Coturnix japonica: one gene and its partner. The protein of the gene in region 1 purifies or fractionates together with the protein of each later gene. This does not show direct contact. Links are inferred from orthologs where the notes say so. Each region holds a gene or a part of one and is shown in the gene's direction. Other genes may lie near its edges.

Region 1 (7,618 bases):
TATGCATGGTAAAATGTAGTCTTCTGTGCCTTCAAGAGATGTCTAGGCACTCATTCATACCTTATCTACATAACTTTCACTGGAAAGACTTGTTACTGCAAGTCATATGCTGGTCATTGAGGATCCTAGAAAAGTGTGAAAACAAGGTCTTCAAGCAGATATAGTGTCAGTCAGGATACAACAAAGCAGTTGGAAAGTAAGCTAGTCTTATTCAGATCGGTTTCTTTATTTATATATATATATATAATATATAAAAAATATTTATATACCTAAGGTTTTTGTTTATTGGTAACAATCTCATTTAATCTCTTGAGAATTCTCATCCTGTCATGCTTACAGTATCCTGTATTTAGAATCCTAAATCATCACAGTAGCATTATTCCACTGCAAAAATTATCTCTAAATTAGAACTACAGTGACAATTATTCCGTTATTTTCCCTTTTCTCTATCTAAAGAATTGCATTTTCAAGCTATCAGTTCTACTTTTACCGCTGTCTCTTTTTTACTGTAATGTTTTCATATGATAATGCTCATAAGTACTATAGCCTATATGGAGCTACGGTGAAATAGATTCTATTTATGATCATATTTTCACCTGATAAAAAATTGAAAGAAAGGTTTTGCATTTACTCATAACATTGTGTGAAAGAAGTGGAATCAAGAATAAACTTCATACTGTTGACTTTCACAAAAATTGTTCATTTCGTAAGGGAAATGACTTTTGTATTTGATAATAGCACTTTGGAAATTTGACTTCACAAATTCAACTGCAAGTTATTGTGATTTTCTTTCTCTGAGTGCAATGAAAAGGAAAGCAATTTCAAGGGAAGCCGAGACTTGAACTGTAAATGAGGTTGAGAAATTCTGCTCTTGAGAATAACGGCTAATGGAAATTACAGTGACCTTATGTCCCATCAAAACATGTTTTCCATGTTAGTTATTAAAAAAAAAGGGGGGGGGGGGGGGGAGGGCTGGTGGGGAGAGGAATGGGGCAAAAGTGCTTTTCCTGTTAGTCTGCAAAGTGTCTGTATTCTCCTGTTGGGCCAGATTCTGAGCTTTTAAGAAATTCTCCTCCATATACATGGCTTCTTCTGATCCATTGGTCACACATAGGACCAATTTTCATCCGCATGTAAGATCCATTTGTTCTTGGAAACAGGAGGAAGGACTGTGTTCTCAGTTCCTTTTGAGCATCTGCTTGCCACAAGTCACCTGAGAGGAGCAAAGAGAATGTAGTGGTATAACTTGGAAGGTTTATTCCAGGGTACCTAGTAGAATCTGTCAGCACATCTCATTCAAGACTTGAGCCTGACATCTTTTTCTATAAGAAACCATATAGGTCTTATATGTCTTTTAAGAAATATATTTACCGTGTCTCTTGTTGTTTGTTATCATTATTGAAACTTGGCGTTCTGGAAGCAGTCATCTTTGCTGCTAATATTCTGTGAGAAAAATCCTGTGAAAATGGTATAGAGGATCATTTCAATGGACTTTGATGAATCTAAAAGAAAATCCCCACTTATTAATAATAAGCTGTATTTATTTTCTCTTGTTTGGTTTGTAGGTTTTTTTGGGTAGGTTTGTTGTTTTTTTTTTTTTACTTCTGAAAGGTTATCTCGTGTGTCTTCCAATACTGTCAGTTAAAGATTTACGTGATATTTTCAACAGTTTAAAAAGGGTAGTTCTTTGAATCATTCTAGGTGAAATAGCGTATCTGAGTAGTAACCGTTGGTCTTACCACAAAATAGTTTTGGTCTGTCTGTGCAGGAAAGAATTAAGATTGATCTTCAGCAAAACCACTGAGAAAAGGCATATCAAAGATTTCTGGACTTTTTGTTGTTCTTTAATCCAGCAGCAAGAGTGTGAATTTTAATTTGATACTTGAGGTTTAAAGGAGTGCAGTTTCTTTTTGTTTTTCAGGCATTACAAGAGGGAAATGGTTATTATGTACAGCAGTAATTCTTCAGCTTTGTTCTCCTTGTCTGAAACTCTAGAGTTCAGCTTTGGAGTATAACAGTTTCATAGCGCTTTATTTTCCAAAACTGTTAAGTTCTGTGGTTCTATTTTTCTCTAATTTATTTTCAATTCAAAATGCTTATTTTATCCTAAAAATCTGTAACATAGATGGAATTCAAATGATAGTATTTTAGTTTAATAATCTGAAAGTAAACTTAGTCTGAGAATAAACTATTGTCTTGTTATTGCACTCTTTGTCCAGTAGATGTTGCTGTACATACATAAAATAGGAGATTTTCTAAGTATAAAGCTGTATCTACACTTAACATGGTATTTTGAATGGCTTTTTCTCTATAATTTGCTTTGTTTCTCAGTAGACTCCACAGAAAGTTGTACTACAAACAGGAAGACTATTAGTCAAACCACGTTTTTCTTCAACTGTAACTGTCTCATGCAAAGTGTGCTGATGTTCCTCCATTTTCAGAAATGTGAACTGTCCATGAAGATGCTGATTATTTTGCAGTGTCTCTTTTTCAGTCAGTTGAATTGTCTCAAGAATATTTTCAGCACAATACTGTTTCTATAGGCACATGAGCAGAAAAAAAATTAAGTTTTAAAAAGCATACCATCTTCTACACACATTGCAATTCCAAATTGCTCACATTACATAAAGCATCTGTCACTTCATGTCAGTATTCTTATCTGGGTAGCTTCTATGCGGAGAATATAATTTCTTCATAGAAATCTGTTGCACAGTTAGGCTATGTATGTTGTAGTTCTCATTAACATTTCAATGAGAGTAGTTTAATTTTATGATGTTTGTCTTATATGAGCTGCTCTTGGACTTATCTCCAGCTTTGTTTCAAATAAACGTTGTTCCTCGGAACTAAACATTAGCACACTGACCAACTGGAAGTAAAGTTCATTGTCAGGTATAGTCTCTGCCTGTTCAGATAGCGTGAGTTAGTTTTTATAATTACATCACAAACTCAGTGATTGGTTTTCACTTCTTCACATTGAAACCCCCCTTTTTCAGAATTATTTTAAAAGTGGTTATGAGATACTTACACTTTTCAATTTTCTCATTTTCACCAGACTGCTGAAAAATCTGGCCAAATGGAAAAATCAAAGAAAAACGCTAGACAAAGACAAAATGATTTCAAGGTATGTTATGGCAAGGAAACATTGCTTTCTTTCACTTGCCCTTCCAAGCAGGATGCTTAAGCATCACCACCTTGAAAACCAGATTTCTTAAATCATGTGTGCCCTTATACCTCATCTTTCCAGACTCTCTAGCATGAGGAGCCTTATGTAAATCTAATGTTACAAGGTGCTATATATAGCAAGTACATGCATTCCTGCTTAAGCATACTGGTAGGTCTTTTGTTTGATTTTGCTTTCCCTTATTCTGATACAGAAAATGATTCAGGAAGTTATGCATTCCCTGGAGAAACTTATCCGTGGAGCTTTGCTTCCCTTCAGCCTCAAAGAAGGAGAATCAAGACAGTATGGTGGCTGGGAGATGAAATCTGAACTTTCTGGCCAGTGGCTAACACATGTTATCCAGACAGTAAGGTAAATGAAGCTGTTGACCTGCAATATGTTGTTACTGCTAGAATGTGTACTTTTTTTAGCACGTATTGTTTTGGGTTTGTGGGTTGCTTTTTTTTGTTAAATACTCTGAGTACTGAGAAAGTTAATTTTCTTTTCAAAAATATAATCACAAAAAAAATGCTTGTGGAAGATTTAGGATTCTGAGTCCAAGTTTAATTCATGGTGTCTCATAGTCTTACTATGTAATTATAATCTCTTTATTTTACCCAGAGAACCTAGGTAGAAGTTTGATTAAATAATTTACATGAGGTGGGATTTGATTCTTTAGAGTAGAATTATTAGGAAGCTTTGCAATTAGCATCTTCCCATCTTCACATTTCTGCCAAAATGGGTAAAAATGACATGCCTCTACTATAGTGTGATTCTTAAGATACTGTTTACTTTCTTAACTGTCTTATGAAAGGTGATGTCATGATGTCATTCTTTTTATAATTGTTTATTTATAAACTTATTAGTGTGCGTGTCATCAATTTCAAAATGTCTCAGTAAACGTACAGAATTTGCTTCCATTTCTCTATGGAGAATGTAAGCATCATCACTAGCTTTTGGAAACTCAAGTAATACCTAGATTTGACACTGTACTTTTTACCTGCAAGTTTCAAAGTCAATAACAAGAAAATTAGAGTTAAGCGTACCCTTCTTTATTATCTTACACATGTTAACTCATACATAGTTAATTCTTTCTAGAGATGAGTCGCAATGTTGCATACCTTTTGTTGAGTATTTTTAGCACTTCCCAGGTGCTCACACCAACAAAGCAGATAGACTCTTCTGAATAATCTGTGTATTGCAAATAAACCTTACTAGTTGCAAACTTATGTAGTATCTTAGGTCATATCTTTATAATTCCCAACGTATTTTCATCTTGAAGCGCCTGATAGGATCCTGCTCTTTTCAGTCATTTCACAAACAATTGTTTTTTGTTTGTATTTGGAAAATCATAAAGCACAGAGGGGGGTGGTTATGCAGCTTTGTTCTTTGTATCACACTCTGTCATTCCCTGGGTTGAGTAGGTTCCAGAGGACAAATTGGAGCTTAATATAAGGTGAAGCTATTGCCTGCAAGACTTCAGCCTCATTGTAGGTATAGAATGGTATTTGCATTGGGGTCAGTTATAGAAGGAAAAGTGAGGGTGTTGAAAGCTTTGTGCTTACTTGGGAATGGAATCAGCTCTACGTACTTTTATGCAGTGTAAAGTTGCTTAAACTTCTCACAGATGTCTGTTAAACCCTGTGTTTCATCGATGACTGAGATAATGCAGATTTATTAAATTTACAAATTCAGTAGTTGTGTTGAACTGATAGAAGTCAAAATCTGCTGTCTGAGCTTTGTTCAGTATTAACAGCAGGGGAAACAACAACTACATTTGAGTTGTCCTTGCTCAGACACCCAGGAGATAAATAAAAACAATAAACTTTACTTTGTGCCCATTACTACAGTCTGTAGCCTACAGTCATTTTTTAAAAAGCTAAAATGCTATTTCTTGTAAGGAGCTGTTGTATTGGTATTTCTAAAGGGAAAAATAGAAGTGAATCTTTCCATCTTCTGCTACTCTGTCTGGTGGTATAAGGCCAGTCACTGCTGGCAACAAAATAGTTAATGAATTCGCTCTTCACTTGGCAGTAGCTGTATTTTGTATTGTGTATACCGTCATGATCTGACACATGGCTACATCACCATTTATTGATGACTGTTATTGTTTAATACAGGTAGACTATAATTCAGTATCCTCATTGTAGACCTAAGATTTGCTGTATACATACATAGCAAAAGAAGGTACCTCTGCTGCAGAAGGAATCTTAGATTAAAGGACAAGATCATTGCAGGAAGGCAGGAGGAAAAGTGCAAGAATTGACATTAATGTTATAGGAAAAATAAATCTATATTTTCATGTTTATGAATTAAGCAAATAAGTAAACTTATGAATGGGGTAGCTAGTTTTCAGAGGCTTAATATGGGTGAAGCTACTGTATTGACAGCCAGTTTAAAAAGATTTGTGTAGTTTTATCAGCTTAAAAGACTTATAGGTTTACATGTTATTTTTTTTCTTTTCTTTTCTTTCCAGGCTTAGCTCTGAGTCTCTTACTGCACTTGAGATACCTAATGATATGCTTCAGATCATCCAGGATCTTATTTTAGACCTTCGAGTACGTTGCATTATAGTGACTTTGCAACACACAGCTGAAGGTAATAAAAGACTGCATCTCTCTCTGCTCACCAAACCAGATTCAAGACAATAATTGTGTTTGTTACAGTTGTTTAATTGACAGTGAATTCTGTAATATCTCACAAGAATTACTGAAATATTTTGCTACTCTGAGAAAATTCTGTATTCTGAATGTTTTCTTCCCTTAATTGGATGGATGCTGTAGTTGAAATCTGTCTTCTCTTAGCTGAGGCAGTTTTATAATGCAAGTGATTTATCTCATCATGCAACTTTTCTGTATTGGAAATACCACTTATTTTCTTTTTTGAGTTCTTCCACAGAGTGAATAATTAAATAGGCAGTGCCCTCTGCCCCAAAACCCCTGGTCCAGCTCTTACCCCCTATCTTCTGCCTGGTCTTCCTTATACCCCCCCGGCCCAATTTAAAACAAACAAACAAAAAAAAAAACCCTTTGTGGAATATTCTAGTTGTGGGTTTTTCCACAGTGTAATTCTCATATTTACAACATAAACAATATAATCCTTGTGCTTCCAACAGTGTACGTAGTTTTTGTCATAAATGTCAGAATCATAAAGGCCAATAATACATTCTGTAGTGTGATTCTGTGTGCATCAGAGGCAATTCATCTTATCAACTCGTAGTTAATTCTGAAACTTGAATTCAAGTGAAGTAAATCTTGCGGAAATAAATCTCCCTCTTAATAAAAGTTCAGACTAATAGTTCAACATTTTTTCCTAAGAGGGATTAATTACCCTCAATGCTAAAACAACAATTTTAATAACCTTCTCAAATTAAATTTACAGTTTAATCAATTTTTTCTCTATTATACATTTTGTCATTATTTAATTGACATGAATCTAAGCATCTTACTCAAGCCTTAAAAGTGCTAAGTGTGGGTGACTACATTCATTAAACAAATTTTTAAAGTTTCAGTGACAAGTGTGAAAGTCTGTATTATTTATTCTATACAACATTAATATTAATTGTATTTTTGTCTCTTATTTGACTAAATCCCACTTCAGCATTAATATTATTTTGCCTACATTAATACCAAGCATATTAGCCATACTGGTGTACTGATTGTCTTTCTTACACTCTGTGGGGCAAGTATTATCACTGTTTAAGATTTTACTTGAAATATGAAGATATTGATCTCTGTGAGTTACTTACTCATAGATTATTTTTTTAGACAAGACTGGATTAGTTGGACCCTTGGAGAAACTGTTGTTTTTAGAGAATCGATGAAAGAACAACTAATGGGTATTCTCATTGGGCTATGTAAACTGGTCTCAGACCTACCCATGTTGTATTAGTTGAAGGGCTCTTCTCGAGCTTGAATCTCTATAAGCTATCTGAATTATGAGCTGCAGAGACTATTAATGTAAGGCTCAATCTCATACTCCATGTCATAAGTTGATAGGGTCATTCAGATCAATTGATAGATCATTCTACCATTAGCTATTTAAGTGGGATGAATCTGCCCACACAGAGGGTTTTCTTGTTATTTTATATACAGCACTCAAGAGCAATCTCTGTTCTTTCTCTGTCGTGTGCGTTCACTGGTCATAAAGGTCATGAAACCCAGACTGATGAATGCCAAATCAGACAGGGAGTTTACATGAGTGTATTTGACTGGAATATGGTGAATTATTTCACTGAAATTAATTGTTGTTGTTGTTGAGGGGTGGGGGGTTGTGTTGTTTTTTTTTAGATTGATTGTTTTTTTAGTATATATTTTTGCTAGCTCAGATCTGAATTTAAAAAAAAAAAAAAAAGCCAACAAAAAAGCTGACCAGCGTGATCTAATGCCCCACAGAAGTACCGTTTAAATTGGTGCTTTGCTAAAATAAAGAATCAGTCATTATTCTCTACGATCTCTA
Region 2 (7,618 bases), on another chromosome or scaffold:
ACTGAAGAATCTCATTGTGGTATTTGCTGATACTTTACAGGTGGGTATTATATTAGCAATTTAACTGAAATTCATAGGGCCAAATTTGAACTTCAGGTGAGTGAGTACAATATTTTGGATCCTCTGATGTCGCATTTATATAAGTCAAGAGCAAAATTACAGAATAATGTTTTAAATAATAAAAATGTCTGTATTTTATGCCCTGGATCCTCCTTTTCACTGTTACCAACTGAATGTGTGTATTCTGGTTGATCCAGTTAGCATCGGCATATTCATAACTATGTTTCTGTTATCGTTGTATCTTGTGAACATTTTTGTCCTTTGTAAATGCTTTACTTCTGAACTTAAACATGAATGAACAGTCCTGCTATCATTAACTGTCTAGGGGGATGACCAAATGAATATCATTGGCAAATATTATCAGCCTGATAAAAAAAAGATTAGCTGTTTGCATAAATATCAAGTTAAAATGTTACAGAAAAATGGGACAGATTTTTGCTTGACAGCTGAAAGCATGGTAAAAAATATTTTGTAAGAATGTAACGATCTTTAAGTTGTGTATTTGAAGTAGTACCTTCTGATTTGTAGAAATGATAAGATTGATCAGTCTTGTTGTAGAGGCTTGAAGGTATAATAAGAATGAGCAAGTTAGTACTGGAATTATCCATCCTTTTCATTTTTATACTTTAGGGTTATGGTTTCCCTGTGAATCGACTCTTTGATCTTTTATTTGAGATAAGAGACCAGTACAATGAAACACTTCTTAAAAAGTGGTCTGGATTGTTCAGGTTAGTATTAGTATATAAAAATAATTGTGCCTTCCATATTGCATTTATTGCTTGTTGTCTTTAAATTTTGTTGCAGTTGTAATTCTGGAAGAATTGACTGAGTCAGTGCTGCACATGAAGTTCGGATTAGGTAGAACTAATGTATTCGTTGCGTGTAACTAATATTTTAGAGAAGAACTATCAAGGACTGCATCTGTAATTAATGGAGAGAAGAAACATTCCCTCTTAGGGACTTCTCTGGAGAAATACCAAGAGAAGGACACCTGTTTTTCTTAATTAGTAACCTAATCAGCCTAGACAACTGCAATAGTCTGTTGCCAATATGTTCTTAATTTAGGTTGTCATAATGTTTAATGTTGGACATTATGTGTATATTACTGACACACTTCTGATGTTGCCAATGTCTTCATGTTCTTTCAGTGCAAGAGGGTTTCCATGTGTTCTTTGGAATCATTTTTTGAATAGTTAACCCAGGAGTAGAGCAGTGTGGAACTGTACTCCAAAGTCTGTTTGCAGATATAGAGTATGATGTCTAAATTTTCAGATTTTGTTTACCATAAAAGGTGTTGAATCATATTACAGAAAATCTTAAAATTAAATCGACCACTTAAGATTCTCCTTACAGTTTTTCCTGGAATAGACTTGTTGTTCTGAAGTTCCTTTACTGTGTTCTGCTTTTGGACATGCATGATAAATGTTTTTAGCTTTTTTTTTAACTCTGTGATTGGACATAGCTTAAAGAGCAGTCATATAATAATTACTTTTGAATTCATCTAAACATATTTCAGACTTTTGAAACTAGAATGATTCCAGTTCATAATATTTTAACATTGCACACGTAAATGTAGTAGTAATTTGTATATTCATTAGTATGCTTTATTATTGTAAAATACTATTAATAAATTAAATATTCTTGTTTTTTCGCTTTATTAACTAATTTGCCAGGGATATTTTTGAAGCAGATAACTACAGCCCTATTCCTGTAGCAAATGAAGAAGAATACAAAATAGTTATAAGCAAATTTCCTTTTCAAGATTCAGAACTTGATAAGGTAAGGAAAAGTTTTGTTATTAAGATTTGCCAAAATCCAATTCGGAATGGTTAGAACAGAAATTATATTTCTAATTAGAAAGTAATTAAAAATAGAAAAGCTTGGTAGATTAAGAGTGTAATTATGTATTCATAAATAAATAGGAAAATTAAAGCTCTAATCACTTGCTCTGATGTTTGAGTGAATAATGAGACCTACTGTTTTGTAAACTAATAATTCATTTTAATCAATCCAGTCTTTATTTAATGAGTTAACTTAGATTTTGTTGCAAAACATTGGGTTTTGTAACCCATGGTATGTTGTATGCTGTGGTTTTGCAGCAATGCAGGTAATGATCATCAGGAATGTATTAGAGATAGCAACTTCATTATTTCACTTTGTAAATTAGTTATTTATTATCTGAATATGTGGGACAAAGTAGATATGAAGAGGCTGTAAAGAATTCTGCTGTACTGACATCCCAGTGGGATATTCTTTCTTAGCGTCAGCCATTCTCTCTAAAATTTTCTTTCATGGAAGGGTGATTAGTATGTTCTGCCTTCTGAAAGTGGTTTTGATGGAACTGATCAAGTAATAACAAACCCATGGTAGAATTTACATAAGGAAATTAAAGCACAGTGAGAGTAGTTGGTGTAGAGGGAAGCTGGTTTAATCAAGATGCACTGCTGCAGATACCTACCTGAAAATGGAATCTAATTTTATGATTCAGCAGGAAGATAGCTGATAGAGAACAATCAACACTCCAAACTTTAATGTATTTAAACGGATACAGAAATCAGTTCAATACACACCACAGAATATATTTGGTTTAAAATGGAAAAACTTATGATAGGTGAAATATTGGTAAGTGATTTTCCAGTATTTAATACCAATCTCTCCTTAGAATCAGAGGATTATCTTTATTTTTACAGCAGTCCTTTCCAAAGAAGCTCCCGATGTCTCAGTCAGTGCCTCAGATATATATCCAGGTTAAGGAATTCATTTATGCAAGCCTTAAGTTTTCAGAATCACTTCACCGCAGGTAATCTATAAGTACTGTGAATGCAAATGAGTATAAACTATCCCATAACTTCCAGGTAAACTAATAATTTGTATTAAATTGAAAATAGGTTTTCCTGGGTGCTTACTTGCTTTGTTTGTTTCTTAAATTACATGTGTAATTTGTTATATTTTATCTGTGATTCCCAGTGCTATGATATATATTTCATGTATGTATATACATGTAGGTATGGAATGCATGTATGTGTAAATGAATTTTGCTTAGTGTAGTGAACACACCAAAGCAGCATTAGGGCTTTTTTAACAGTATTGACTGATTTGGATAATCTGGAGATTTTTTTGTTGTTGTTTAACAAAGCCTGTATACTTTAATAATTATCATTTCAGAAATAATTGTGTAGCATCCCTGATTACTTTAAACACCTTACAATTTTCACTGCTTTGAGTTTCCCTAGTAATTATTTTTCCTGTAACACAACATGCTGTCTGCATGCTAATTCCCTCTTCTTTCCCACCTTTTCCCAAAGGAAAATATAACATTTCTGACATCTCCTGTTTTCTTGTGAAGCTTTAAAGCTCAGTTATAATTATGTAAAATAACGTGGCAGGTCTGAAATCTGGGAGTTATTTGTGACTGCTCACCCACTTCTGCTCCGTTAAAGATGTAAATGAATTGCTTTCACACGTTCTTAATTGTTACTGTTTATAATTTACACGTACTAATTGGTGCATGTTGACCTCCATGGTAACTCATTACAAAACACAAATTACTCCTTCCTAACTGCTGTGTCAATAAACACGTCCAAAATCTAAAAATAACAGGTTTTCTGCAACGTTGAAATGTAGTTAATGGATAATTTGGTAAATGAAAGAGGTGTTTTGTGTTAGATCACAGATGGCTTGAAGCAACCAGAAATTCAAGCACATGGATAATTCTGAATACTAAAAGTTCTCTTTGTAAGGAAGAAATAGAGTTTTACTGTCAAAGTATTGTCATGTTTTAAAAATGTACTTTTATTTCAGCTCAACGGAAATAGATGACATGCTTAGAAAATCAACGAATCTGCTGCTAACAAGAACTCTCAGTAGTTGTTTACAGAACCTAATTAAGAAACCTCACATAGGTTTAACAGAGGTAAGTTTTAAAATACTCACCCAGAACTGCATTCTTGTAAGGAAATTGGTGCTAAAACTATTCTTGTAAATGTGGATATTATATAGTATTGAGATTATGTAACGAAAATAAGTAGTGCTTACTTTAAAATTGAAATTTTAAAGAGATGAGGAATGTATTAACAAAAAAAAGGGTCAATGGCTGTGACATAAACAAAAACAACCAAACAATCAAAACCAATGTGGATCTAGTTGGAACTGAAGGATGATGCTTGTGCTACTGGAAGGAGTTAGACTGCTGCCATGAGTGCAGTGCAATTTTCATGTTTAGTTTTGCTTTAAAAATGGCAAGGATCTCTTGTGTAAATGAAATAAAAAGAAGATCATGAGGAGGGAAAGGTTCTAATTTGTATATTGACACACTTGTATGCCAAGCTATAAAATTATTCTGAGAAAGTTTTCTACATTCTTGAAATTGGTACAGAATATGAAAAAATCACTAATATTTTTTAGGTATTTAAATATCAGGATGGTATGTTATAATAAAAAAGTTTAAAATACAAAGCTGTTACTTTTCCTAACATTAGATTAGTGTTCACTAAAAGGTACTGGAGCCAGACTGCAAGTAGTGAAGATATTAGAAATCATACACCACTGTTTCAGTTATTATGCAGCATCTGTGTTGTGTAATTTATGAACTGAACATGAATGAAAGTCCTGCCTATAAAAAGATGTAAATAATATCAGTATCGTGCATATTTATTTCTAGAGCAGTATTATTACCATTTAGGGGGGGATGCAGTCATATATTTGAAATTTCCGAACTTCTTACTACATTGCTTTTATGTATTGATGTATTTATTTATTTTAATTGCAGCAATGATGTTTGCTTTCTTGTTTCCTTGCTTTTGTAGTATGAATTAGTGATTTAATTTTGGCAATATGTTATCCTTTATTTTCCCCTTTTTTAAATTCTGAAATAACAGTTGAATTAATTTCACTGGGTAGATATCTACAATCTTCATTTTTTTTAAAATGGCATTTGTATGTAAACTGTGGCATTACTCCTTACCGGTATTTGAAAGCTAACTTGAATGTTGTCAGTTGATAGCTGATAGCCTGAAATACTGCAGTAAACTTCTGGCAACACTGTTTCTGAAAGAAGCCCCCATTTACAAAAATCAAATGTCAATGAATAATAGAAAAAGGCATTTTATTATAATTATTTGTTTCTTGTAGCTTGTTCAAATCATCATAAACACAACGCACCTGGAACTAGCCTGTAAATACCTTGAGGATTTTATCTCTAACATCACAAATATTTCACAAGTGACTGTTCACACTGCCAGACTGTATGGACTTTCTACATTTAAGGTATGGTATATATTACCCGTTATGCAACCAGATATGAAAAGTTAATTCATTTGCAATGATTTTAATGTATTTAAAAACAAAAGGGGAGTGAGGGGAGAGCTGCATATTTTCTCATTTTGATTCTAAAAAAATCTGTTAGGAATTCAGTTTTAACCTTGAGCAGATAAACATTGTTTTTTATGTTATTGGTATGGGAATTTAATATACGAGAAACATCTACATTCCTGCAGATGCCTTTTTTATTAAGTTACAGAATGACAAACAAAGTTTGACTGCACCAGAAGCTTTCAATGGATTAAGCTCCAAGCAATGTGATATTTCACATTTCTGAATGGAATCGAGCAAAACAGCTACTGTAATTTGACATGTCTTATGTTTGCGGTATACTCTCAGACTGTGTAATGATAATATGAAAGCAGTATTTAGTATGTGTTACAAAGCATAGATTATCCAATTGTTTGTAGAATTCATGTTTTTATTTAGTATCCTTTACATTTATTTGCGCAGTAATGCTTGTTAAAATGGAAATAGAGCTAGATATGAACAATTATATTTGTGTATAATTACCTACAAAAAAAGCATTATTATTTACCTTTAAATAATAAGTATCCTCAGAGAAGGATTTTTCCAAAATTTTTTTTTTTGTCACTTATGTCTCCATGAATTAATGGTTGAGATTATAATCTTCAACCTTGTTCATTCAGAAAGCAAACCTGTATACTGTATGGAATCACATGAAAGGTTTCAAAGCATTCTCATGAGCAATAAGGTATCCTGTGGGAGGGCATTGGGATGGCACTGAAAGGAGCAGTGTTCTCTGTCAAGGTTTGCTGCTAGCTAACTCGAGATCAGAAATCAGTCATTTAACCTCTGCGTTTCTCAGTTTCTCTCTGTAGGCAAGAACTTAAATGATGAGTTGTAAAATAATTTTAAAAGTGCTGTAAGTTACTAATAATTGAAAATCTCCATACACAATGAATGCATCCAGGTTGTTGCTATATATTGCGAAACCAAGTTTTTGAATTTGTATATGTAAAATAAGACAGGAAATTACTTCATCAACCAACTTATTCTCATCAGTCCTTTTTTAAAAATTTATATTAAATGAAAAACTGCATGTAGTTCCCCAGCTGGGCCCCCATAGGGTTTGGCATGTTATTAAATTCGTCTCCTGGTGACAAATCGTGTCACTCCCATTCTTTCTGAGTGATCAAAAATCTCCTTTATTAGCATTGTTTGCAATCCTTGAGATGATCTCAAAAATGCAACCATACTGTAGTTTTTCTTGGGTCTCTTAATTTCTTTTGTTTTTTATTTCCTTTTTTTTAAAAAAAAAAAAAAGAAGTCCTCAAACATGTTTCATTGCTGCTATTTCTGAGGGCTGTTTTCCCCCTGTTATTATTGGATATAAGATGCCATTTTAAAATACCATTCAAACTCTCCTAGTATTCTTTTGTAACAGTGTAAAAGTAAATACAAGTACAAAAGAAAAACAAATAAACAGCCTCTCTGCCCTCAAAACGGTGTCACTGTTTTTCATTTTATCATATTAAAAAGCTGTGTAGCTTTCAGTACTTACAACATACTTTACAGCTTTGGATGGCTGAGTGCAGTTGTGGATACCATCGTATTCCTTTGCCTCTTTAAATCTGTGGTCACTCTCAACAAAAATAGATAAATCTGTGGATTTAGTTGGTAGAGATCAAATAAACCTTATCTCAGGGTTAATAAATTTGTAAAGCTGAATAAAACATGATTGCTGTGGAAGAGAGTAAAGCAATTCTTTTATTTCCAAATTCAAATATATTTCCTTGATTTCTGATAATTTAGTTTATTCTCTTAAAGTATACTTGTGTGTATTTATAGTATGCATCAGGAATTTATAAAAACTATGACTTCAGACTTACTGCTGCAAGACACAAGCTAACTTTACCCTAAAAATAAACCCTGTAAGACTTCAGTTTCATTGATGAAAAATATATAATCTGTGTTCTAGTAATATTCTAGAATTCTGGTAACTGTGCAATTCTTTTTTCCCCTCAGGATGCAAGGCATGCTGCAGAAGGAGAAATATATACAAAACTAAACCAAAAAATAGATGAATTTATTCAGATTGCTGACTATGATTGGACTATGTCTGAATCAGATGGAAGAGCCAGTGGATACTTAATGGACCTCATTAACTTCTTAAGAAGCACATTTCAAGTCTTTACTCATTTACCTGTAAGTGTTCAAAATTAAGTGTAATTTCAGTCCATTGGAGCATTATTTTATTTTATAATATCAAGATCTT

What was found. The genes of interacting proteins can lie anywhere in the genome.
Region 2: the proteins of EXOC2 (region 1) and EXOC6 purify together in Homo sapiens (affinity purification with mass spectrometry; 5 studies listed by BioGRID and IntAct, counting the BioPlex papers as one, with this or other methods). This does not show direct contact. The link is inferred for Coturnix japonica from reciprocal best matches to the Homo sapiens genes EXOC2 and EXOC6.

The regions. Positions count from the first base shown.
Region 1 is NC_029517.1:62,020,103-62,027,720, forward strand, and holds part of EXOC2 (exocyst complex component 2), read left to right. Parts: intron 1-3,052; coding exon 3,053-3,121; intron 3,122-3,374; coding exon 3,375-3,532; intron 3,533-5,636; coding exon 5,637-5,758; intron 5,759-7,618. UniProt on the Homo sapiens protein: Component of the exocyst complex involved in the docking of exocytic vesicles with fusion sites on the plasma membrane.
Region 2 is NC_029521.1:17,888,030-17,895,647, reverse strand, and holds part of EXOC6 (exocyst complex component 6), read left to right. Parts: coding exon 1-40; intron 41-690; coding exon 691-788; intron 789-1,733; coding exon 1,734-1,839; intron 1,840-2,750; coding exon 2,751-2,860; intron 2,861-3,861; coding exon 3,862-3,973; intron 3,974-5,190; coding exon 5,191-5,325; intron 5,326-7,368; coding exon 7,369-7,548; intron 7,549-7,618. UniProt on the Homo sapiens protein: Component of the exocyst complex involved in the docking of exocytic vesicles with fusion sites on the plasma membrane.